Linked DNA regions of Xenopus tropicalis. The protein of the gene in region 1 interacts with the protein of each later gene in a biochemical or structural test. Links are inferred from orthologs where the notes say so. Each region holds a gene or a part of one and is shown in the gene's direction. Other genes may lie near its edges. The genes, in order: sumo2, eef1g, exosc10, chaf1a, ruvbl1, ddx17 and mta2.

The links.
Region 2: the proteins of sumo2 (region 1) and eef1g form a complex in vitro, tested with the Homo sapiens proteins (2 studies listed by BioGRID). The link is inferred for Xenopus tropicalis from reciprocal best matches to the Homo sapiens genes SUMO2 and EEF1G.
Region 3: the proteins of sumo2 (region 1) and exosc10 form a complex in vitro, tested with the Homo sapiens proteins (2 studies listed by BioGRID). The link is inferred for Xenopus tropicalis from reciprocal best matches to the Homo sapiens genes SUMO2 and EXOSC10.
Region 4: the proteins of sumo2 (region 1) and chaf1a form a complex in vitro, tested with the Homo sapiens proteins (2 studies listed by BioGRID). The link is inferred for Xenopus tropicalis from reciprocal best matches to the Homo sapiens genes SUMO2 and CHAF1A.
Region 5: the proteins of sumo2 (region 1) and ruvbl1 form a complex in vitro, tested with the Homo sapiens proteins (2 studies listed by BioGRID). The link is inferred for Xenopus tropicalis from reciprocal best matches to the Homo sapiens genes SUMO2 and RUVBL1.
Region 6: the proteins of sumo2 (region 1) and ddx17 form a complex in vitro, tested with the Homo sapiens proteins (2 studies listed by BioGRID). The link is inferred for Xenopus tropicalis from reciprocal best matches to the Homo sapiens genes SUMO2 and DDX17.
Region 7: the proteins of sumo2 (region 1) and mta2 form a complex in vitro, tested with the Homo sapiens proteins (2 studies listed by BioGRID). The link is inferred for Xenopus tropicalis from reciprocal best matches to the Homo sapiens genes SUMO2 and MTA2.

Annotation. Positions count from the first base shown.
Region 1 is NC_030686.2:44,411,181-44,415,200, forward strand, and holds the start of sumo2 (small ubiquitin-related modifier 2 precursor), read left to right. Parts: upstream 1-1,220; 5' UTR 1,221-1,230; coding exon 1,231-1,251; intron 1,252-1,961; exon of another isoform or gene 1,962-2,198; intron 2,199-2,545; exon of another isoform or gene 2,546-3,403; intron 3,404-4,005; coding exon 4,006-4,020. UniProt on the Homo sapiens protein: Ubiquitin-like protein that can be covalently attached to proteins as a monomer or as a lysine-linked polymer.
Region 2 is NC_030680.2:36,802,782-36,806,095, reverse strand, and holds part of eef1g (elongation factor 1-gamma), read left to right. Parts: intron 1-52; coding exon of another isoform or gene 53-177; coding exon 178-195; intron 196-1,287; coding exon 1,288-1,431; intron 1,432-1,795; coding exon 1,796-1,925; intron 1,926-2,525; coding exon 2,526-2,733; intron 2,734-2,868; coding exon 2,869-3,041; intron 3,042-3,314. UniProt on the Homo sapiens protein: Probably plays a role in anchoring the complex to other cellular components.
Region 3 is NC_030683.2:64,893,176-64,896,675, reverse strand, and holds part of exosc10 (exosome component 10), read left to right. Parts: intron 1-824; coding exon 825-948; intron 949-3,500. UniProt on the Homo sapiens protein: Catalytic component of the RNA exosome complex which has 3'->5' exoribonuclease activity and participates in a multitude of cellular RNA processing and degradation events.
Region 4 is NC_030677.2:93,798,171-93,801,670, reverse strand, and holds part of chaf1a (chromatin assembly factor 1 subunit A), read left to right. Parts: exon of another isoform or gene 1-18; coding exon 19-120; intron 121-1,708; coding exon 1,709-1,958; intron 1,959-2,250; coding exon 2,251-2,720; intron 2,721-3,396; coding exon 3,397-3,484; intron 3,485-3,500. UniProt on the Homo sapiens protein: Acts as a component of the histone chaperone complex chromatin assembly factor 1 (CAF-1), which assembles histone octamers onto DNA during replication and repair.
Region 5 is NC_030680.2:134,985,309-134,988,808, reverse strand, and holds part of ruvbl1 (ruvB-like 1), read left to right. Parts: intron 1-2,346; coding exon 2,347-2,433; intron 2,434-2,955; coding exon 2,956-3,088; intron 3,089-3,500. UniProt on the Homo sapiens protein: Possesses single-stranded DNA-stimulated ATPase and ATP-dependent DNA helicase (3' to 5') activity; hexamerization is thought to be critical for ATP hydrolysis and adjacent subunits in the ring-like structure contribute to the ATPase activity.
Region 6 is NC_030680.2:120,518,457-120,521,956, forward strand, and holds part of ddx17 (probable ATP-dependent RNA helicase DDX17), read left to right. Parts: intron 1-766; coding exon 767-877; intron 878-965; coding exon 966-1,027; intron 1,028-2,008; coding exon 2,009-2,068; intron 2,069-3,500. UniProt on the Homo sapiens protein: As an RNA helicase, unwinds RNA and alters RNA structures through ATP binding and hydrolysis.
Region 7 is NC_030680.2:36,834,445-36,837,944, reverse strand, and holds the end of mta2 (metastasis-associated protein MTA2), read left to right. Parts: intron 1-108; coding exon 109-198; intron 199-1,757; coding exon 1,758-1,876; intron 1,877-1,961; coding exon 1,962-2,119; intron 2,120-2,207; coding exon 2,208-2,376; 3' UTR 2,377-3,173; coding exon of another isoform or gene 3,174-3,177; 3' UTR 3,178-3,398; downstream 3,399-3,500. Other genes in the region: putative nuclease HARBI1, read right to left, coding at 3,174-3,177. UniProt on the Homo sapiens protein: May function as a transcriptional coregulator. Acts as a component of the histone deacetylase NuRD complex which participates in the remodeling of chromatin.

The DNA of each region.
Region 1 (4,020 bases):
ACTCCAAATGAAAGAAAATAAATGCCCTTATAACCATGTCCCAATATGCACTGCTTGTACCCTAGGCAATTTTGGGTGGGTTTTAGGCCTTTTCATTTTTGGGGGGGTAACTATGAGGAGCAGAAGGCTGTCAGTGTTATTAACAGTAAATAGGGAAGAAAGACAGTAAATCCCAGTGTTGGAATGAGGTGTGTGGGGTCCACCACCTCAACAGACGGTTTTTCTCCTATCGTTCCGCTCGTCCAGTCCCACCCTGGGAAATGGCTGTATTTTATGTCCCTAAAAGGGCAGCCACCTTCCATGATTTTTATGTTTTGTCTGGAAACTTTGGATATGGTTTGGATATGATTTTTATGTTTTGTCTGGTAACTTTGGATATGGTTTGGATATGATTTTTATGTTTTGTCTGGTAACTTTGGATATGGTTTGGATATGATTTTTATGTTTTGTCTGGTAACTTTGGATATGGTTTGGATATGATTTTTATGTTTTGTCTGGTAGCTTTGGATATGGTTAGCTTCTCTATGTTTTTGGTATGTATAACTTTATTTATAAAGCGCCACAAGGATACGCAGCACTGTACAATCTTACAATATACACAATTACCCACAGGTAGGGCAAGTGTTATAATAAATTTCAATAAATAAGTATAAATACACAGGGAGTAAGTGCCATGGGGTATGAGACACAGTAGGAAGGAGGTCCCTGCCCCGTAGAGCTTACAATCTAAGTGGTTGGGTAACATACAGGCACAAACTGGAAGGTAAGAGGCACCAGGTATGGGCATTTGCCCTTAAGTGCAGGACTGATCAAAATAAAGTTTTAGTGAAAAGGTAACTGGTATGGCAACTGGTATGGCTTCCTCCTTTGGCTTAATTATAGGGGGGGCTGTTTCTGGAAGCTTCTATCATGGCTCCTGCCCCCTCTATGAGACTAGGCCAATGAAGTCACTGGAAGGGATTTAGCCAATCCCGGGTACAATGCGGCCCAACCTCACCCTGACTCTCCTCAGAGTCAGACCCCTCCCCCCATGCGCGCCCCCGCCGCCACGTGCTCCCCAAGGCGGGCTTTTCCCTACAGTGGAAATAGCGGCGGGGGCGCGCACGCAGAGAGTGCGCCAAATCTTCCTTTCCGTACGTGCGCGCTCTCGTTCCACGTCCCGCGCCAGTTCAGGCTCTTTGTGAGGAGGAGGCAGCAGCGAGAGTACCGGGCACCGGGAGCGAACTGACAATGGCGGACGATAAGCCCAAGGTCCTGCTCCGGGCTGGGAGAGGGAAGGGTCGCATAGCGGGCTTGGGGCCGGGGGCAGTGGGTGCGGGGCAGGAGGAGGGAGAGGCCTAGGCGCTAAAGGGAGGGGGCAGCGGCCTGCGGGCTGTGCGGGGGCTCTGTGGGTACGGGAGGGGCCCGTAGGGAGACAGCCGGGAGAGGGACGCCCATACTAGCGGGGCTTGGTTATGGGAGGCTGCACTGCATTGGCCCACTAGGTTTATGGGGAAGGGAGCACAGGAACCAGGGAGCACTGGGGAAGGGAGCACTGGGGAAGGGAGCACTGGGGAAGGGAGCACTGGGGAAGGGAGCACAGGGGAAGGGAGCACTGGGGAAGGGAGCACAGGGGAAGGGAGCACTGGGGAAGGGAGCACAGGAACCAGGGAGCACTGGGGAAGGGAGCACTGGGGAAGGGAGCACAGGGGAAGGGAGCACAGGGGAAGGGAGCACAGGGGAAGGGAGCACAGGGGAAGGGAGCACAGGGGAAGGGAGCACAGGGGAAGGGAGCACAGGGGAAGGGAGCACAGGGGAAGGGAGCACTGGGGAAGGGAGCACTGGGGAAGGGAGCACTGGGGAAGGGAGCACTGGGGAAGGGAGCACTGGGGAAGGGAGCACTGGGGAAGGGAGCACTGGGGAAGGGAGCACTGGGGAAGGGAGCACTGGGGAAGGGAGCACTGGGGAAGGGAGCACAGGAACCAGGGAGCACAGGAACCAGGGAGCACTGGGGAAGGGAGCACAGGAGCCAGGGAGCACTGGGGAAGGGAGGACAGGAACCAGGGAGCACTGGGGAAGGGTATGTTGGGCACTGCCAGTATTGGGAGATGGGAAGTAAATGGGAATGGGCGACCTTGGCTATACTGGGAATAGGGATATTAGGGGGGCCTGAGCCCAGGTATGTTGTGGGGGAATATACTGGGGCTGGGAATTGGGAGGTTAGGGGGCCCTGAGCCCAGGTATGTTGGGGGGGGAATATACTGGGCCTGGGAATTGGCAGTTTAGGGGGCTCTGAGCCTAGGTATGTTGGGGACATATACTGGGGCTGGGAATAGGGAGGTTAGGGGGCCCTGAGCCCAGGTATGTTGGGGGGGAATATACTGGGGCTGGGAATTGGCAGCTTAGAGGGCCCTGAGCCCAGGTATGTTGGGGGCATATACTGGGAATTGGGAGCTTAGGGGGCCCTGAGCCCAGGTATGTTGGGGGCATATACTGGGGCTGTGAATTGGGAGCTTAGGGGGCCCTGAGCCCAGGTATGTTGGGGGCATATACTGGGAATTGGGAGCTTAGGGGGCCCTGAGCCCAGGTATGTTGGGGGCATATACTGGGAATTGGGAGCTTAGGGGGCCCTGAGCCCAGGTATGTTGGGGGCATATACTGGGAATTGGGAGCTTAGGGGGCCCTGAGCCCAGGTATGTTGGGGGCATATACTGGGGCTGTGAATTGGGAGCTTAGGGGGCCCTGAGCCCAGGTATGTTGGGGGCATATACTGGGGCTGTGAATTGGGAGCTTAGGGGGCCCTGAGCCCAGGTATGTTGGGGGCATATACTGGGGCTGGGAATTGGGAGCTTAGGGGGCCCTGAGCCCAGGTATGTTGGGGGCATATACTGGGGCTGGGAATTGGGAGCTTAGGGGGCCCTGAGCCCAGGTATGTTGGGGGCATTGACTTTAGGGAATGAGGTAACTTGGGGAGAGAGGAATTCAAGAATGTTGAGTGGGAAAAGATGTAGCCTCTGGCCAGTGAGAAGGGCAAGTATTATGGGAGAGCTTAATGGTGGGAAAATGGGTATGCAGGGCTCAGTGCCATTAAATAGAGTTAATACTGGCCAGAAGCCTAGGTTATGTTGGGGGCATTCCATGCAGAGTAAGGGGCATAAGGGTGAAGACACACTGAGCTACTAGCAGCAACTAATTTTTTACAGCTACAAAACACCAGAAAATCCCCTGCCTTAGACAGTATGGAGCGTTGCGAAAACAGAGAATTATCAGTAACTGATTGGCATTGAATATTTTAGTAGCTGTGACAAGTAGCTGCTACTACTGTGTGTCTTCGACCTAAGGAAGGAGAATTCTTAGTATGGAAGGAATTTTAGAATTGAGGAAGTAGTGTAGGTAATGGAGGAACACGTGTTAGAAGCAGGAAGGGTAAGGTGCATTAGGCACAGTGGAAAGAAAGTTCTGAGAACTTTTAAACTTGTATTAAGTCTTTAGATTCAGGGTCTGTGACACTGTGAAGCAGTACCATGTTATTCTGCATACTGGCCCTCAATGTGATATTGCTCTCTTAATCACTGGGACCTGTTAATTGGGGACCTAGAGACACAGGCAAGCGTACTGTAAGGCTAATATATACGATGAGGTTAGGGGCTAGACCAGCTTTTGTGAGTGTAGTTGTAAGTTAAATGCCTGTGCAGTCAGTAAACATTCCAGAACTGTAGCTCCCAGCAGTGACTGTTGTTCTAAAGGGAACATTTGGTGTATTTTGTGTAATGACATGCAGCCTTATAACTTCTGTGCTCCCCATCTTTCTTCTTGTGCGTTGTGAACACATTACCAAATGTAGCATGGTCCCCGGCCAGATCTAATATAACTAGAGTTCTTTTGTCATTTGGTGCCAAAGTATTCTCTAGAATGGGGTGCAAAGAGCTCATTTCTCACAACGGGATGAATAACCACAAGCGTTACCAGTGTTTCTGTGCCATGATGCCCCTTCCCAGCACTCATTCCACTTTTTACTTCTTTTAGGAAGGTGTTAAGACC
Region 2 (3,314 bases), on another chromosome or scaffold:
CTTGGTGTTAATAGGAAACCTAATTCTCACCTCTCACATATTTCTCTGACAGTGGGCAATGATGAGCTCCGAGGAACCAATCGTTTACACCAAGCTCAGGTCATCCAGTGGGTCAGCTTCTCAGACAGTCACATTGTCCCTCCGGCCAGCGCATGGGTCTTTCCCACTCTGGGGATCATGCAATACAATAAGCAGGTAAGAAGGGTTCATTATTCTGCTTTATTTTCTTTGGTTAACTACACACTGCTGCGTGCTTATCTGCTAAATTATTTATTCATCTAACAATGGCCTTTCCTTTTCTACTTTGTGCTGCGTCGAGATGAATTATGAAATACTTTGCTTTACAAATACTTCAAGCACCCATAATGTTTGGGGTCAGTAGGACCCTTTAGGGTGACCAGATTGCTTGAAAATTCAGGGACGTGTAATGAAGAGAAAAAATAAATCCAGCTAGCAGGGCTGAACTGATTTGAAATACAATTCCTGCGACATGTACTAGATGTGTCCTTGAATTTTCAAGTGATTGGGTCACCCTACTTTTTGCCGCAGCCATAGCTTTAGATGAAGTAAACACGAGGCAGTTGTCAGAGATGGATGAACTGCCTGATCCAAGATCGATATGGGTTTAACAAGATTTAACTGTTTTAAATTGAAAGATTACCTTAAAAAGTGTGTGTATATCTCTGCCCCACCCTTATTTAGTGAATGTTATGGTTATATGTATCTTTCGGTTTATTGAATGGTGTGAAGTGATCTGTGCAGTTAGCTGGAAAATAGCAGCTTGCTTAAGGGCTGTGACACACGGGTAGATAAGTCACGGGTGACAAAACTCCCCAAAATGCCATCCCACCGGCTAGAATGTAAATCGTCGGTGGGATGGCATATGCGGCGGTGTGATTTGCGGAAGTTGCCAGAGTTTCCTCTCAAGGCGACTTCTGCGAATCACGCTTGATGCTTATGCCATCCCACCGGCGATTTACATTCTAGCCGGTGGGATGGCATTTTGGGGAGGTTTTCTGTGCAGCGACTAATCTCTCTGTGTCACAACCCTAACTAATTCCCCCTGGTTGGCATAATGGCGGATTCTAGTCTTCCTGGCTACTTTTTAGTACACGACTGTTTGTTATCTCAACAACCCTCTTGGATAGGGTTTTTTTTGTTAGAAGGTAGTAAGCCTCAGAAGCAAAAATAATTGAAGATTGAAGAAAATAATAGACCATTTTACCTCAATTTCTGTCCTTTTAAAACTGGCCATTTGGGATTATGGCTCTTTCTGTATATTTCTAGGCCACAGAACAAGCCAAGGAGGAGATAAAGGCTGTGCTGGGTGTTTTAGATTCTCATCTGAAGACACGGACATTCCTAGTGGGCGAGAGGGTCACGCTGGCTGATATAGCAGTTACTTGCTCTCTTCTGTGGCTCTATAAGCAGGTCTGACACTTTAATTTTTATCTGTTTCTCCTTTGTCTTTTATTCCTCCTAACTGTATTCCTGTTGTGAATTTGTAGCCTCCTTTAGCCATATACTTCACTATATTACTGTTTATAATAAAGATCCATTATACCTGTTCTGGTATACCAGTTCTTCATCATTTATTGGATTTCCCACACTCAGAATACATAAACACTGAAGTTTTTTTTTTTTTAATTTTTTTTCTATTCTAACTTTCTGTATAATAATCCTCGCCATTTACCCCATTTCATGTATCTACATCCCCATATTTTCACACTCATTTCTGTCAGCCTTTGTAGCACTTCTTTTTAGTGTCCATATATTAATTTCTATTTATCCATAGGTCCTGGAACCATCCTTCCGCCAGCCATTTGGTAATGTTACAAGGTGGTTTGTGACCTGTGTGAATCAGCCAGAATTCCGTGCTGTGTTGGGAGAAGTCAAGCTTTGTGACAAGATGGCACAGTTTGATGGTGAGCCTGAACATCCTATAAAATTCTCTTTTCTATCCCATTACCCTATTACCCTGTGCCTACACAGCAGCTTTGTTTCTGAAACACTGGTATAGTTTATATAAACAAACACACAACTTTTACCTGTGCAGAACAGTGTTTTTGAATTACTTTAAGAAATAATTTTTTTGGTGTTACTGGTCCTGCAAGGCAGGTTTGGTCTGTTTTGCGCTAAATCATTCTTGTACTGAGTAGCTCTTATGGTCAGCAAAACCGATTAATTTGATTTAGAGCTCAACTATAAACAAATTGTCTGGGCTGTATATAGGGCCAGGGTCTTTGTATTTATGAATACTTCCAGGATTGGAATGAACAGTATTCTGTATAAAGCATCATCTTCAGAATGTCATTTTTATAAACAAAATGTAGCGCAGTCTGTAACGGGGCTAAATATATACAAGCCATTTTTACAGGTGGTGGTCTACTTTTGATAGGGATGTTAGGTTAACTTATTGTATTTGCTATGTAAAATAATTTTTAGCAAAATGGCAATTCAAACTATTTCACATTGTATGGTGGTGTTTCTGCCAGGCTGAGAGTGTTATTTTTAATTTTCTGTAGCTAAGAAGTTTGCCGAGATGCAGCCCAAGAAAGAAACTCCCAAGAAAGAGAAGCCAGCAAAGGAGCCAAAAAAAGAAAAGGAGGAAAAGAAGAAGGCAACACCAGCTCCTGCTCCTGCCCCAGCCCCTGAGGATGATATGGATGAATCTGAAAAGGCTTTAGCAGCAGAGCCTAAATCAAAGGACCCATACGCACATCTACCTAAAAGGTAAGATCATTGAGCAATTGATGTAATTGTTGTCATCAGACTCTACAACACTACATCCCAATCTTAAGTGACCAGTTATAATCTTTCACTGTCATAGACCTTTATCGTCTTACAAGTCTTCATTTTCCCATGCAGCTCTTTTGTAATGGATGAGTTTAAGAGAAAATACTCTAATGAAGATACCCTGGCTGTAGCTCTGCCTTATTTCTGGGAGCACTTTGACAAGGAAGGCTGGTCCATCTGGTACGCTGAATACAAATTCCCCGAGGAGCTGACACAAACCTTCATGAGCTGCAACTTAATTACAGGTAAGAGGTAAATGTATGCATACACGGTGCTGCCTTGAAAAGCACTGATACAAGTAATGGCATGTAGTTAGGCAAAGGCTGGTAGTTTTCAGGGGATTAAACAAACACTTTGATGTAAAAATGTTATAAAGACGCTAGTGCCCCTGGTCTGTAAGCAGTACTATACTTGCTAGTAGTAGTCCTTAAATAGAACTCAGTCATAAATATTTCAAGGCTTGTGCATTTGTACATCTGGCAGCTATATAATTTTATATAACCCTAATTAAAACCATT
Region 3 (3,500 bases), on another chromosome or scaffold:
AGTGTGGGGGAGAAAAGGGCTTTAAAGGAACAGTAACACCAAAATATGAAAGTGTATAAAAGTAATTATGGTATAATGCACTGGTATAACTGGTGTGTTTGCCTCAGAAAGACTACTGTAGTTTATATAAACTAAGCTGCTGTGTAGCCATGGGGGCAGCCATTATAAGGAGAAAGGGCACAGGTTACTCAGCAGATAACATATAAAGACCCATTATATTCTACAGAGCTTATCTGTTATCTGGTTTTTAACCTGTGCCTTTTCTCCTTTTTTCCAGCTGGAATGGCTGCCCCTATGGCTACACAGCAGCTTCTTTATATAAACTATAATAGCGTTTCTGTAGCCAACACACCAGTTTTACCAGTGCAGGGCAACAGTACGTTATATTTTAATTACTTTAAAACTCTTATTTTTTATTTTTTTTTGTGTTACTATTCCTTTAAAAGAAAAAAAAAAAAGTGCCCTTTAAGGCAGTTTTTATGCCAGTAATTCAACTGTAGAACTGCACACAGGTAACTCGTAATTTTATTAACATAAATGTTACAATGGAAAATATACCCCCTTTTTTTTTTTTTTAATAAATTTATCTGAAGGATCATAATATAAGGTGGAGTTGTGGTTTACTGCAAACGGTTTAGCAACTTCCTATTACATGTTTGGTTTTAAAATCCATTCAATGACATATGGATGTAGAGATGCCCAAATTAGTATTTTGACTTCATGTATTTACTTGTAAGATATATTTCTTATTTAAAACATCTTATTCCTTTAGTTGAAGCCATTTGCTCATTCTTTTTATCATTTTATGTTTCGTTCTGTGATAGTATGAGCCAAGTTATGCAGTATCATGGCCTTCGTAGTCATATCCGGGATCGAAGCAGAGTCACGTTGCTGGAAGATAAATTTGATTTGCTTGTTGATGCCAATGATGTCATTTTGGAGAAAGTGGTAAGTTTTTTTTTTTTTATAGGATGTATTGCTTTGACCCTTGTGGAAATGAAATGAAAGTGAACAAAAATGAAAGTGTATCAAAGTAATAAATGTATTATGTACTTTTGCCCTGCACAGGTAAAAGCTGTGTGTTTGCTTCAGAAATACTACTATAGTTTATATAAACAAAGCTGCTGTATATCCATGTGGGTAAGCATTCAAATTGAAAAATGGAGAAAAGGCATAGGTTACATAGCAGATAACAGATAAGCTACATAGATTCCTGTTGAACTATACAGCGCTTATTGATTATCTGATGTTTAACTTGTGCATTTTCTCCCTTTCTTTCACATTGAGTGGGAACAAGGGACAGTGGGTAAAGGGCCCCTGCCATCACTGTCGGGACTCCAATGTATACCTCAACTAGCCTCTTCTATTGATAACATTTTGGTGAGACTAAGGGGCTAATTTACTAATCCACGAATCCGAATGAGAAAAATTCGGATTGTAAAATGAACATTTTGCGACTTTTTCGTATTTTTTGCAACTTTTTCGTAACCGTTTCGACTTGCGCGAATTGTCGCGACTTTTTCATAGCCAATAAAAATTTCGTGAATTGTCGCAAATTTTTCATTGCCATTATGACTTTTGTGAATTGTCGCGACTTTTTCATTGCCATTATGACTTTCGGGAATTGTCGCAACTTTTTTATTGCCATTATGACTTTCGGGAATTGTCGCGACTTTTTAATAGCCATTACGACTTTCGCAAATTGTCGCAACTTTCGTATTGAGAGCTCGAAAAAGTCGCGACAATTCGTGAAAAAGTCACAAAGTACCGATCATTACGAAAAAAACGCATTCGGACCCTTTTCGGATGTTCGTGGATTAGTAAATGTGCCCCTAAGTGATACCACAACTTCCTCAGCTAAACACAAGCGAGATTTTGGAAGTGCGGACACTTCCCTCAAAAATCCTTTCTGGAACAATCAGCTCCACAGACACTAGGGGGCAGACTTTGGTTCTTTGCAAAGGCATGGGCTCTGCACACTTCAGATCACTGGGTACTCTTTAGAGTACCGACTCGAGTTCCGAGACCCTCCCACACTTAATTTTTCATATCCAAACTTCCCTCGCAGCCCAACAAAAGAGAGGCCTTCTTGACAATTGTTTGCTTGTTAGCAGAGGCCGAGGTGATTGTTCTAGTACTGCCTCCTCTGTGTCCAAGGTGTGTCTATTATCAAGGCTTTCTTCAAAGAGAGGGCCAAACAGCATCTTCAGTTAACAATCCAGAGTTTACAGGACTTCTTCCCTGAGGAGAAACAGCTCAGATTACTCACATCCATCAAATATCTCAAGACAATGCAGAAACCAACAGTACAAGCCTGCATGAGAATCCTGGGACTAATGGTATCATCCACCGAGGCAGTGCCATTTGCTTAATTTCACCTTTGTCCCCTCCAAGCCACGATCCTTAGGCAATGACCCAGGACCTCCCTGCATCAACAGATGTCTCTAAAAAAGGGAACCAGGAGGTCCTTGGAATGGTGACTGAACCTACAGACAAGGCACTTTCATCTGACATATGTTTTTACTCCTCTCCCATTGCTCGCTCGAGTTCTCAAAATGATCCGCAGGGAAGTGGCTACAGTCATTGTAGTCCCCACTCGTTGGCCCAGGAGGTCATGGTACTCAGATCTTCTAGCTCTCTCTCTAGAAGCTCCGATGGCCTTACCTCCACGAGATTGACCTCCTTTGTCAGGGTCCAATATGTCATCAGAACCTGCACCTCTTCGCCTTAATGGGATGGCTCTTGAGGCTGCAATCTTGAGGGACAAAGGTCACTCGGAAGAAGTGATCCAGACCAGGATAAAAGCAAGTAAGAAACCACTTTCAGAATTTACCACAGGACCTTGTCCTTTTACCAGATCTGGTGCCCGCAACAGGACTTCAACTTTAGAGAATATAAGATCACTAGAGTCCTGGAATTACTTCAGTCAGGATTAATGAAGGGACTATACCTAGTATCCCTAAAATCCCAAGTGTCTGCTCTTTCTATCTTCTTTCAGGAGTGGCTAGCCCTATAAGAAGACATCTGCACCTTCTTACAAGGGGTCTCTAGAGTTGCTCCACCTTATTGGTAACCTGTCCCCCACCTGGAACCACCGTTTGAACCCTATCAAGTTCATCGCCCTTTCTGATATTTCAGGAAGGCAGAGCAGTCCTTTGGCAGTGCCGGGATTTCTCCCCAAAGTGGTGTCCTCTTTTCACGTTAAAACGGAGATCATCTTTCCTTCCTCCTGTAACAACTCTCGTAATGATAAAAAGGCAAAACGTCACATTATGCTGCTCTCTATAGCCTAATCAGTATTGGCTTAAAGGAACAGCAAAACATCAAAATATATTAAAGAAATTAAACCATAATGTACTGCTGCCCTGCACTGGTAGAAATTGTGTGTTTGCTTCAGAAACACTACTACAATTTATGTAAAAACCGTGATGTGTAACCATGGGGGCAGCCATTCAAAAGGACAAAAGGCACAGGTTATATAACCGCAAAATAAACCTTGT
Region 4 (3,500 bases), on another chromosome or scaffold:
TCCTTTTCATTTGCCTAGGAGAATGAAGATGATGATCCCAAAGAAGAAGACGAGGAAGATGATGATGGCTTCTTTGTTCCCCATGGATACTTATCTGATGATGAAGGGGTATCTGATGAGGTAAAAATTTAGGACTAAAGTGAAAAAAAGGAGTCTGTGCATATATTGCATATCTGATAATATTTCTGGGTGACCTACAATGCATTTCTGGGATGTCACTTTCGTATGATTGTTGTCTGCCAATTATTTCATGTTCAGAACATCCTCCGACTTGTTATTTTTAGGACTGTATTCACAAGTTCAATCTGAATGTTCGTTTTAGTTTGTTAAAATTAAATATACGATTGACATCCAAATCTCAACCTTTAGTCCTGCCCTGTCTCTCAGTTCTTCTAATTCCACAACAGCAGTGTTGTGTTTTACCTACAACTTATTCTGCATGTTGTTGTTGAAAAGAGCATAAAGGCACCAAACACATAGATACAGTGTCTTGCCCTGTTCCTATTGTTTCAGCCAGAGTTCCTAAATATTGTCACATTTTTCCAGGCATCCTCTAGTAAAGGGGTCCCCAACCTTTCTTACTCATAAGCCACAGTCAGAGTAAAAAGACTTGGAGAGCAACACAAGCATTATAAAAGTTCATGGAGGTGTCAAATAAGGGCTAAGATTTGCTATTAGGGCAGTGACAGACGGGGAGATTAGTCGCCGCGACAAATCTCCCCGCAATGCCATCCCACCGGCTGGAATGTAGATTTGCCCAAGTCGCCCAAAGTTTCCTCTCAAGGCAACTTTGGCAAAACGTGCTGCCGTGTATGCCAACCCACCGGCGACTTTTGGTGACAATATATTGGGAAATGCAAGTGTGTGCCATATATGACCGTATTTTATGCCAAAAAGTACATATAGCTGGACAGTCATAAAAAACATGTAGAAAAATTAGCCCACATCATTTTGACCTATTGGTCAGGTGCACCCTGTTTATATTTTGGACAGTCTCTGTAGGGTCAGGTAGACTCTGGATAAACTTGATCATATTGGTTGATGTGGGTCACTGTACCTAAGCATACTTGGTGCCTTATGTGTAACAATGATTTGCATTCTTGCCTTAAGAATTTGGTGTTCAGGTTTTACCACAGCACTATATTAGTAGAGTTTTTATATGTTTGCTTCATGGTTTTTGTGTGGGTTTCTGTGTTTGCTCCAGCTTCTTCCCACTGTTAGCTTCATATATTCTTCTTCCTATATAATCCTATTATGATAGCACTAGCCTCTAGCACTATCAATACCAGTATAATCTTTGTATAGAACAAGGAATACATGTGTTTTTTTTCTGAAGACCGTAGCAAATAGTGACCTATAATCCTTAGTTAAAAAAAAATCTTCCTAAAAAATATCCTGCCCTGTAGTCGTCTTTTTTTTTTTGCTAAAACTTTTAAAGTATGCATCTAAAATACCAATACAGTAGAACCCCAATGTTATGGCCCTGCGTTTTTCAGGAATTTAGTATCTGGTAATCAGTATAAAAAGCTTTTACATTTTTCTTTCCTACCCATGTGTGGTTATTATATCAATGTTTTTTAATGTGACTTATGTGCACTAATATTATAATTAGAACTATAATTCAGTATAGCTCAGTGACACTTAACTTTTTTTTTTTATTAGCTGAGGGTTGTTCTAATCTGAGCTTCTTTTGATCCTGCCCATCTAGGAATGCACAGACCCAGAGAACCAAAAAGTTAGACAGAAGCTGAAGGCTAAGGAGTGGGATGAGTTGCAATCAAACAGCAAGAAGATCCGTGTACTGCAGCCTGTAGTGATTGGATGTGTATGGTGGGACAGTAATGCTTCAGAAATTAGACTCCTGCAAAAATTTTCTGCCTGTATTCTGGAGTCACCTGCAGTTGAGGAAGAGCTTGCACAAGAGATTAGTTCTGCCCAGAACCTCAAGGACAGGCAAAGTATGATGGACAATTAATAATGATTTTGCAATATGGATGGTCAAATTTCATTGGTCCGAGCTGTATTTCCTTCACTTTGTAGATGTTTAGGACCAGCCAGTGGCAGGTCAGACAACTTTTTTTTGACAGCTACCAGGGAAGTCGAAATAGTTTTATTTGTTAATAATCTATACCGCATTTAGATGTCCCTATGGGCTGACCGTATAATTTTGTTTGGAAAATTAATTCTGTAATTTCAAAATTTTCATTGTTTTTATCTTACAAATGCTAACTTAAACTCTTTTATTTTTAGTACTTTCCAAACTTGTCCCTCTACTTCATGGAAATGTCAATGGAAGTAAGATTATAATACAAGAATTTCAGGAGTGCTGTCGCCGAGGTTTATTATTGGAGGATAACACAAGTACTACCACAGACAATGAGTCCCCCAGCCCTAACTCCACACCACAAACACCAAACAATGTTCTAGTCCCTTCTAAGGCTCACTTAAAGCGTTTAATCTCTGAAAACTCAGTGTATGAAAAGCGCCCAGACCACCGTATGTGTTGGTATGTGCATTCTGATGTCTTAAAGGTCCTACAACAAGACAATCTTCCTGTACCCTGCCAGTGGATTTACATTACTCAAGTTAACTCTGTAGCCAAGGAAGATAATGGTCCCAATGGAGGACCATTGCAATCTCTGCCTTCGTCTAACAAGAGGAAGTCTGCAGGCAGCATGCCTATCACAAAGTTTATGAAGCGAGCAAGGGACCTTGAAATGGTGAGATAACCAGATAGAATACAATGCCATGTTATGATGTATCTTTGCCATTTCAAAATTTCCTTGAGTATATATTACCCTTGTGCTATAATTAGTGCCCCACTAATTGACTTCTGAAGTAGTCTGGTGATTATGTTGAATGAACTTCTCAGCTATGTGGATGTTAAATAGGGATGTAACTGGTATTTGGATGAATCCAATAAAATCTTCTTAAGGGAATGGGGCCAATAATGAACCTTATCTGCTTATTCAATGTGAGCAAACATTGGAAAAAATTGCATCGGAAAAAATCTCAGCAGTGCATTATAACTACATGACATCATGTCTCTGATTTTGGTTTGCACAACCCCACTGTAAGTTTTATACATTTAAGCAAAAATTGCCGTAGTCAATTTTAAATGTATGCAGGCAAATATTGTAATTTGAAAAACTATGTTCAATACAATATTTTTAAATTTCTCTGCATGTCATACATTATAGATTAAGACTTTATTTTATTAGTCGTGCCCAGTGCCTTAGATCCAGTCAAATGAGAGTTTATACTGCTTTGGGTTCAAAGATAAGTTAAGATTGATGAAAAAGTTGTGTGTGCTTTTGCTAATGATAAGACCGTTTCTCCCTAGCTTTGTTCAATATAGCTGCCATTTAACAGTTTTTTGTTTTTTTTATCATTCAGGCTGTAAATACAGATATGGATGGCTTTCAGGCAGACAATGAAGAAGAGGATGATGACTGTATGATTCTAGAGGACCAACAAGCTAAAAGTAAATAAACCTATTT
Region 5 (3,500 bases), on another chromosome or scaffold:
GTTACTAGTCCACTGCCTGTCACAGTAAAAGAAAGCGGGCATCTAAATATTCGTCATGACCATACCCCTGATCTGCCCAACGACACCCTGTTACATCCAGAAAATACAAAGCACCCTTTGTGGTACATAAACTGGAATTTTGTATGTAGCGTCTCCAGTCCCCACCCTCCAAAATGGTGGCACTTTCTTGTGCACAGGCTCCTGCACTGTGATCACTGCCAGGGAACTTGGGCACAGAACATTGCCACCAACCCTGCTGCCATGCTTTGCGTTTCATGAAGGTGTTGAAAGCACTACCTCATCACACAGAGCAAAGGGTTTCTTGAACATAAGTCATAACCTTGAACATGTTTATACATATTTGTCTAATGGGAATATTAACAGGTGACTATTTCCTCTTGCTTTGCTATCTCTTGCTTCTGTGCAAGTGTCACATACTTTGCTAATTTATTTTGACTGTCGGGCCACACATTCCCTTCTACCTTCCATAGCTCTCCTCTTGTACCCTGTCCACCAAACCAACAAGTGACATTAGCTTTATTATTCTCATTAGTCAGTGTTGCACAGAGTGAAGTCCCCCTTTGCATAAGGATAAAGTCTTTGTTTCCATTACAAGTGATTTTTGGCTTTTAGAAGAAAATTGATGTTTTTTCTTCCCTCAGCGCCAGTTTTGTGGCATGGTTTTGATTCGATGTGCTTTTTGAGCGAGATACTGTATTTCAAACACAAGCAGTGAAGCAGTACTTAATTTGGAGTCTGTTCTGACAAGTTCCTGCTGAGAACATTTGGGATTTAGTGGGCTATATGGAGAGATGATCTGATAGCAACAGAAATTCTCAGTGAACCAGGAATTTGGATTGTTAGGGTGGGATGGTGGAGCCAAAATTATAAGGGTGCAGTATGGATCTTCCATAAGCACAGTCAGACCAGGCTTGTTTGTTGTGAATATTTAGTGATAAGTAAAGTTGTGTCCCTTTTGCACTTACAGTGTGACTGTCTGGGTCCTTAAGGTTGCCATACACATAGCAATTTCGATCTTTTGTTCGACCATCGTTCCCACCCTCCACTGAAGTTCAGGGCTGAATCGTCCGATATGGAGGTAGAAACAATAGAAATTCTACCTCCTGCCGATTCAGCCCTGAATGTAGATTTTGCTAAAAAATCTTTTAACCTGGCCGATCGATGAGTTGAGCGATATCCGCAGCCTTTTGTGATATCGGCCGCCTCGTTGAGCCGCCATACACGCACCTTATATTGTAAGAAGCGAGGTTTCCTACGATATCACCGGTTCATGTATGGCCGGCTTTAGTGCGTCCTGAACTGAGGTAAGTCACAGGAGTTCTTTCTAGGGTCATCATTAAGAACTAATCAAAATACACAGGGGGTACTAATTTGTTAGGCACCACAGTGAATATAATCCCTAAACTTGGATCCTGACCCCCTATGTTCAAGCATTTCCCAGGAATCCTTTGCTGCTGTCAAGGAATATTCTTATGCTCAGTATAGTAATATTGGTAGTCATGTGAGGAATGCTGACCTGGGTTCTAGGGTAGGAATTATGTTTCCTGCAGCGGGTCGGGTACCCACAGAACACCCGCATATATGTCAGGAATGGGGGGAGGCAAAATCCTAGATGTCTTGACTGTGCGGGTGGTCCACAGGTACACAGTGGAGGTAATTGGGGAGGTTTCAGGCAGCTTTAAAAACACAAAAAGACCTGAGTTTACCAGCAAACTTGCCAGTTTCTGACCTAACTTCTGGTTCTCAAGTCAGCCCCGCCACAAAATAATGACGTTACTTCCGTTTTGCCAAGAAGTTGTTTGCGGTTCGGGAAGGCACTTCTTCGAATTTGTTCGGGTATGGAAAGACATCATAGTCAATACAGGTGTGTGGGTCCAGGTCTAACTGAAGATACACCAAAATATACCAAAACAGACCCATGCAGGACTCTTCCCTGGAGGATGGGATGGCTAAAGTTAAAGTGTTGCTGCTTAAGTTATTTTCTAATGGGCAGACTAACTGTAATAAATAGATAAATGGGCCTGCTGGATATACATTGTGCCCATTTGGGCCATTCAGTTTTCTTTGGATCAGCTGGTCCTTTAGGGCAGTGACATACCGGCCAGTCGTGTTTTTAGGTGTACATGCATGTCTATGGTGCAGGCAGGAGTGACTGCTGGAGACTTCACATTCACTTTCAGGCTTGCAGCCATTATTCACAACAGTACCCCAATTGTTGGATTGGATTGTACCTCTTCATGGTGGGCAGAGGTGCCTGACCTGGGCTATGTGACTGCACTACTACAATCTGTCAGAGCTGTTTAATATGTTTCTCTTAAATTACAGGCATGTGGGGTAATAGTGGAGCTAATTAAAAGCAAGAAAATGGCTGGGAGAGCGGTGCTGCTGGCGGGACCTCCTGGAACTGGCAAGGTACCTTATTTTTCTGCATGTTTCTTTCACCTGGATCCTATTTAACCATGGAAAATGCAAAGCATCAGGGTGTATATGTCTCCTATGCCAAACTATGTTTTGACTGCTGGCATTGCCCCCTTGTGTTGAAATGTTCATAGTTCCACTTTAAACCTGTGAATCACATACATAAACATTATACAAGGATAAGCTTGTTATACAGTGGGATTATGCATAATACATTACTGCAGCCTTTTAAAAAAAAAAATAATAATTTATATTGGAAACAGTAAAAGAAAAAAAATCTTTCATTAGATCAACAGTAATACCAGAGATTTCATTTGTAGAGCCTTTAACCTTGTGAATCAGAAAAGAAGATGGGGAACTACTGGGGGCATTTCTAGAGGCAAAAGGGCTATAGTCTCCTCCAGCTGGTGCTATAAGGGCAGTCTCGCGTGCACCGCCCTTTTGCACCTTTGGTCAGGCCCACGTGGCTTCCTTACTCTGCTCTCTTTCATTTTTATATTCCTTGTCTCCTTACAGACTGCTTTGGCTTTAGCCATTGCCCAGGAACTAGGCAATAAAGTTCCATTTTGCCCCATGGTTGGCAGTGAAGTTTATTCCACAGAGATCAAGAAAACGGAGGTCCTGATGGAGAATTTCCGGAGAGCCATCGGTAAGTGGTTGGTGGGCAGCTTGCTATGTCTGACTTTAAATGGTAAAATATACACAAGGTGTTGGAATTTTCCATTCTTAAGCATCTTAATGAAAGAGCTGAACTTTTGAAGCCAAAAACTCAAAGTAAATGCTAATCAGCCATTTCACATGTAATATAGGAGGTTACAAAGAGCATAAATAGAACATTTTTATAAAGCAAATGTGTCATTCTTCCTGCATAATATTTACCATAGTAAAAAAAATCTATTCTACCCTGCCCCAATAATTGCCCTATCCTGCACACCATTTATTATTTTGAATGCTTTATTAGAAAATACCTGCTAAAACTTGGCTTCCGGTCATTTTAAATAGGGCGATACGGCAATGCAGGGGAAGAACCCACTATGCGATGATCGACTGATCGATCCTAG
Region 6 (3,500 bases), on another chromosome or scaffold:
TTGTGGGTATAAATATGAGCTGAACTGTAGTGAATGAGTAGTAATTCTTACAAATAGATTCTTTTTGACAGGTTGACAGTTTTTTTTTTTATTATTCATCATCTTACTTACAACTCAGTCATACAGTTGCCCTTTAAAATACTATTAATGCTTTGTAGCATTGGGCTCCTGCATCCTGTTTTGATTGGAGCCCAATAAATAACAATAAAAAAACCTGTCAAGCTATTAGTCATACACTTCTCTATACCCCTCTTCTCGGCATTTGTCTATCCTCCCTCTTCATGCGGTAGTTGGGAGTCTGATTTTGAATCACAGTTAGATCAAATATTAAGATTTATTGAAATTGTCAGTCAAAATCTGACACCCTACTCCTGCATGAAGAGAGAACGAAGCAAAATAGATGCTGAGAGAGGGATAGTAAAAATAAACTTGATTATTTCAGTATTTTTAATTGATTATTTTATAAAGTTTCTTATTTCAGTATTTTATATTAAATTGTTATTTTTGTGATCGTTCTCATTTAATTACTTTAAAACATGCACTTTTTTTTTTTTTGGTGTTACTATTCCTTTAACAAAGGCCTACCTATCCAGTAGAGCCTTTGTGTTTAAACACCCCTGAACCTCAGCAAAAATAAACTATATGAAATAAGTATTTAAATTAAAAAAAGCATAATTTTAATGATGGTAAATTAACATTGTCGTTATGCGTTTAGTGTTTATTTCTGGATATTACTGGCACTTAACAGATTTTATGTTGCGTGTAGGCTTATCCAGTTGATGGAAGAAATAATGGCCGAAAAAGAGAATAAAACCATCATCTTTGTGGAAACAAAGCGCCGCTGTGATGACTTAACCCGCAGAATGAGGCGTGATGGGTAAGGAAAAAGTTTAATTTTCATTAGTTTTTTTTTTTTTCCCTCCCCTGCTCTGGTTATCTTTATGCTAAATTTATATTTTCCCAAGGTGGCCTGCAATGTGTATCCATGGTGACAAAAGCCAACAAGAACGTGACTGGGTTCTATGTGGTGAGATTCTACTTTTAAATTACTTATAGGCCAGACAAAGAAATTTAATTTTGTATGATAAGAATTATATTCAGCATATAATTTACATGTCATCAGAATCCTAGATGGAAATCTTTTTTTTTTTTTTTTTATATTTAATTTTGAAATTTCACATGGGGTTTAGCTGTGTTCTTCATTTCCCAGAGTCCCACAGCCATGTGACCTGTGCTCTGATAAACTTAAGTCAAACTTTACTGCTGAGCTGCAAGTTGGAATGATACCATCCCCCTCTTTTTCCCTCCCCAGCAGCTGATCAGCAGAACGGTGGGAAGGGAGCAAGATAGCAGCTCCCAGTAGATATCAGAGTAGCATTCAGTAGTAAGAAATTCAAGTCCGGCTTGGGACTCCTCCAGTTACATGGCAGTAGGAGAAACAATAGCTTAGCTGAAAGCAGTTCTAATGTGTAGCGCTGGCTCCTTCTGAAAGCTCAGACTCAGGCACAATGCACTGAGATGGCACCTACACACCAATATTACAGCTAAAAAAATATATTTGTTGGTTCAAGAATAACATTTTAAATGGTAGAGTGAATTATTTGCTATGTAAACAGTGTAATTTAGAAATAAAAAGTACACCATAAAAATTGACAGTATCCCTTTTAATAAGTTTACCAGCACAGATAGCCCCCATTGCATTGTGTTAGTGTTCTTGAGTCTATTGTTCTGCATTTATTCTTGGCTTGCCTGCTGCCATGTGTTAACTAAGCTGATGCATGAATATAATGCTCATTTTTTTTTGGTAGAATATATTAAGAATAAATTATCTTAGTTGGGATCAAGAGTAAATGGGACCTGACTATACATGATCGTAGCTAGCCATAAATATAAAAATTTGATATTAGAATGGTGATATGTGAAAATGTGCCTCTCAAAGTGGAAAGTAGAAGTATGTTACTGATATATGTTGTGCTCAGGAACTGATCGCTTAAAATTTTCTTTGCAGAGTTCCGTACTGGGAAAGCACCTATCCTTATTGCAACAGATGTTGCTTCCCGGGGTCTAGGTTTGTATTTTTGGAGGTTTTCTTTATTTTCCTCCCTCCACTCTCCTGCCACCCTGCGCTTTCCTTTATGCAGTACATTATAGTTCAAGCTTTAATATATTTAAGCAGTATTTTCTAGCTTGCTGTTATTAGAATATCTTCATATAATACACACTGCATGCAAACTGCATCCCATTTTTACGTAAAATATACACACTACATATTATATTCATGTCATTTTTATAGGAAGCACATACTGGACCTGTCACAGCACGGATATGTGAAATACAAGTTTATTATCGTTATAAACCTTAGATGTATTTTGACATCTTTGGAACTTTGGCTAAGCATATGTGAAGTCTATTTACCTTTTATTTCACAAATCCATCCAGTCAGGTTTGATTTGTACCTTCTACTAAAAGTGTACATGGATTTTCTGCTCCCCATTTTGATAGCCAGGCCTCCCACACATACCGTGGTGTGTGGTGAATTTCTTATTTTAATGAAATGAAGTTATTGTGCATTTTGGTATGTAACTTATTCATTTTATTAGTTATAGCTTTTTTTCCTAGTATTTTTTTTAAATCTTGAATGTGCTTAAAACTAAGTATTAAGTTGTGCTTATATGTATCCTTTAATTTGTGCCCCAATCCACTGATGCAAACCATGCATTTCTCAAGGCAGGAAGAGTACCACAGTCTGTTTCTTGTTACTCAGTTCCTCCATCTGTGTTTTTTTGTGGTGGGAGGATGTGGAACTGTTTGGCTTTAGTTTGCCATTAAAACTTGCCACAAATTTACTGGTCTCCTTCTCCCCAATGGAAAGGTGGTTCACTTGTAGGGAATGGTCTTTTCTAGGCACAGTATCTTCTGGATGTAGTTACTATTTTTAGTGCTCTGAAAATGTCTTTTGGCTATTTGTTGCTCTTAAGAAATTGCATGGCTACCTGTTCTATAGCTGTTAGGTAGCAGCCAGGTAAGTTCCAGTTGAGCATGAGTCTTCTACACTGTAGGCAATTTAATTTCATATTTTTAATTTAAAATTTGATATTAAAACTTATTTTTTTTGTTTTGTTTTTGACAGAAGCTGCAGATCTCTCTCAGTACAGGGCCAGGGGCCCGTCGAAAATACAGGGGGATGAACGCTGGAAGCTGCCCCCCTAAAGGGCACTGGCTTCTTACACTCCTCCCTCGCAAAGGTCTTGTACTGAAGAGGCAATTTTTGGGTCTGCAACTCCGAGCCCCCTAAGTTACTCACTCAACATGGTGGTGCACAATGCAGGCATTCCACCCTGAGTACTGATATTGGGCTACTTCTACGTCCCATTTGCCTGCTGATTCAGTGTCATGTTCTTGCCCAGCCTTATTGAATAGAAGGACCACCTTTCTAGAAGGGAGATCACACAGATGCTTCCCACTATGCCATCTGCTGGGCAACTGTTGGGAAGTCTTTT
Region 7 (3,500 bases), on another chromosome or scaffold:
AGTACACAATGCATTTGTGTTACATTTTTTCTGTAGAAGCCTTTGTGGCTTTTGTCCTTGTATCATACTTATTCTTCCATGAATAACACAGTGCACCTTCTTTTCCAGGTTCTGTTCGCCTTCCTAAAGCATCAAAGACCCCTCTGAAAATACTGCCCCTTGTGCGCCCTTCCTTGGCAGCTATTGTGAAGGAGCTAGGTGAGAAACAAAACCCTCACCACTAGTTACCAACCAGTAGGGTCTCAAACATATTATTTATTAGAATTTAAACTGACATTAAAGAGGTAGTTCACCTATTAATTAACTTTTAGTATGATGTAGAGTAGTGATCCCAACCAGTGGTTTGTGAGTAATGTGTAGCTCACCAACCCCTTGGGTGTTTCTCTCAGTGCCCCCAAAGCAGGGGCTTATATTTGAATTCCTGACTTGGTGGCACGTTTTGCTACCAAATAAAGCCTCCTGTAAGCTGATAGGCAGCCTCTATACACACTAACAGCCAATCTTAACGCTTATTTAGCACCTCCATGAACTTTTATGATGTTTGTGTTTCTCCCCAAGTCTTTTTACATTTGACTGTGGCTCAAGATTAAGCAAGGTTGGGGGCCCCGAGGTAGAGAGTGCGACTCTAAGGGGCTGATTTACTAACCCACGAATCCGACCCGATTTGGAAAAGTTCCGACTTGAAAACGAACATTTTGCGACTTTTTCGTATGTTTTGCGATTTTTTTCGGCGTCTTTACGAATTTTTCGTTACCAATACGATTTTTGCGTTAAAAACGCGAGTTTTTCGTAGCCTTTACGAAAGTTGCGTAAAATCTTGTGATTTTTCCGTAGCGTTAAAACTTGCGCAAAAAGTTGCGCCTTTTTCGTAGCGTTAAAACTTACGCGAAACTTCGCACCTTTTAAGTTTTAACGCTACGGAAAAGGCGCAACTTTTCACGTAAGTTTTAACGCTACGGAAAAATCACAAGATTTTACGCAACTTTCGTAAAGGCTACGAAAAACTCGCGTTTTTAACGCAAAAATCGTATTGGTAACGAAAAATTCGTAAAGACGCCGAAAAAATCGCAAAAAATACGAAAAAATCGCAAAATACCGATCTTTGCGAAAAAAACGCAATCGGACTCATTTCGACTCGTTCGTGGGTTAGTAAATCAGCCCCTAAGAATTTGCAATTGATATTCATATGTTTGCAGTTTTTTAATTATTTAGCGTTGTTCAGCAGCTCTCCAGTTTGGCATTTTAGAAGCTGGTTCTGGTTACTAGGGTTCTATTTAACCTAGCAACCAGACAGCAATTTGAAAGAGACAGGAATAAGAGGTAGCCTAAACAGAAAAATAAGTAATAAAAATTAACAATGAGAATAAAATTGCAGCCTCACTGAGCAATAGTTGTTTTTGGCTGCTGGGGTCAGTGACCCACATTTGAAAGCTGGAAAGAGTCTGAAGACAATAAATAATTTAATGACTATATAAATAAAAATATAATCAATGCAATTGATAAGTTTATAAGAAGAGACTATTCTGTAACATACGGAAAGTTAACCTGAAGGTAAACCACTCCTTGAAGGGACTTAAAGTTGGGATTTCTTCACACAGGGAGATACGCAGACACTTTAATCTTGAATGGAAGGATGTTAAATCTTATTGCAAAATATTGAGGTTTTTGGGTGTGTGTGTAAGGGTAGGGGCCAAAATCTAAGTATGAAATGGGGAGTTAAATCTGCAAAATGTAAAGTTGTTTGTTCTTACCCCAAGCGGCCCAGGCTCCTCTTAAGCCGAAAACCCCACGTGGGACAAAGACCCCAATAAATAGGAACCAGCTATCGCAGAGTAGAGGGCTGAGTGTGCTACCTCCAAAAAGAGCATTTGATGCAGTAAGTACATTATCATTGTATTGCTGCATTTTACTGCTACGTATAATATTGGCTAAAAGCACTACTTTGTATGATTTTCCTTTAGCAGGTGTCTGGTGTGGGTGTCATTCCTCCATTCTCTTCAAATGGCCGCTCGTTCTCTTCAGGTGTCCGTTCTAGCTCTCAGCCCGGTGTCAAGAGACAGAAGCTCAACCTTGCCGATGCCCCCAATCCAGTGGTGTTTGTGGCTACTAAAGACACAAGGTAACTTCCAGCCTATACTGTGACTGTTAGTGTGGGTTACTGGTCCTTCTCTGTTAATCATGTGAACCTGTTTCTATTTCCTCCGCAGAAGTCTCAGGAAAAACCTCACACACATGGAGATGCGTAGAGCTGCTCGTCGTCCAAGTCAACCAGTGAAGTTAAAGGTCCCACTCCCGCCACGGCCTACAAACATCCTGCCTCCACTCAATCCAGCCCATCCTGCCAGTACAAGCGAGCCCATAGTTCTGGAGGACTGAGGGACCTTTTAAACAGTTACCCAGTTGTGAGAGAATACAGCCCTGGTACCAATTACCTAGCCAGGCAATTATGCTGACGAACAGAGGGACATTAAAAAGAAAGAACCCATGCTCCTCCTTGTTCTGCTTTCCAGCAACAGTATCTGGTTATGGCTTATTTCTCTACAGTCCTTTCACTTACTTTCCTCCCAAACTCCTTTTTATTTTTAATATATATTTTTTCATGTAACTACCCTGTTTGTTCATAAGCCCTTCCAACCCCTTCTTCTGACCCCTATATACTGGGTTTTTTTTTGTTTGTTTTTTTTTTTTAATTCTTGTTTAGTTTATGCTTTTTTGTACGAGAAAAAAAATGAGCTGTCCATCAGTAAAATGAGGAAAGAGGTTATACACAGCTTTGTGTGGATGGTGGCTTTTCAGGTAGAAGGGGAACATGGAGCTTTGTACTGCAGGCATTTTTGTGGATTTAATAAAAGGTCAGAAGTCATAACATCGTACTTGATAGAGAGGCTGACAAGGCCTTTATCTGGAAATCTAATAAGTGAATAAAGCACACAAAATGTTCTGCAGGTTCAGGTCAGAGCACATTTGATGGTGTTGGGTAATTTTTATGGAGTGTGTGATAAAAAGCTGAAGTGGATACGTATCCTTACATGAAACTGCTGGATTTAGCACGTGAAGGTTTCAAGCTCTAAATGGGCTGCTTTCTGCCGCTGCTGGGTGAGCCATAGCTGTCCCATAGGAGCGAACCATATTGAGCCAGAGGAGTTGTACAAGAGACATCTGGTCTTCCTTCTTTACCTGTGTGTGTGTAAGAAAGATCTTTTTTTTACTTCTGAACAATCCTCAGGGTCATAAATATCATAGAAATGAAGAAGCTGCAGAACATGATTGGAGCTCGGTAAATTCCCAGGGCCAGTACTGTTACAGATTCTCTTGCAAGGGGGACTTTTCTATTTCAGAGCTTATATTACACATGCTCACATGACAGTGGCTGTTCAATTAAAGGCAATTGCCAGCAATATATTCTAATGTATTTATTGGGATTTACTCTGTCATATTTCCTTTATTTTCATAGGTATTTTCTTCCTTTAACATAAAGATTGCTAGTAATTTACCTTAAA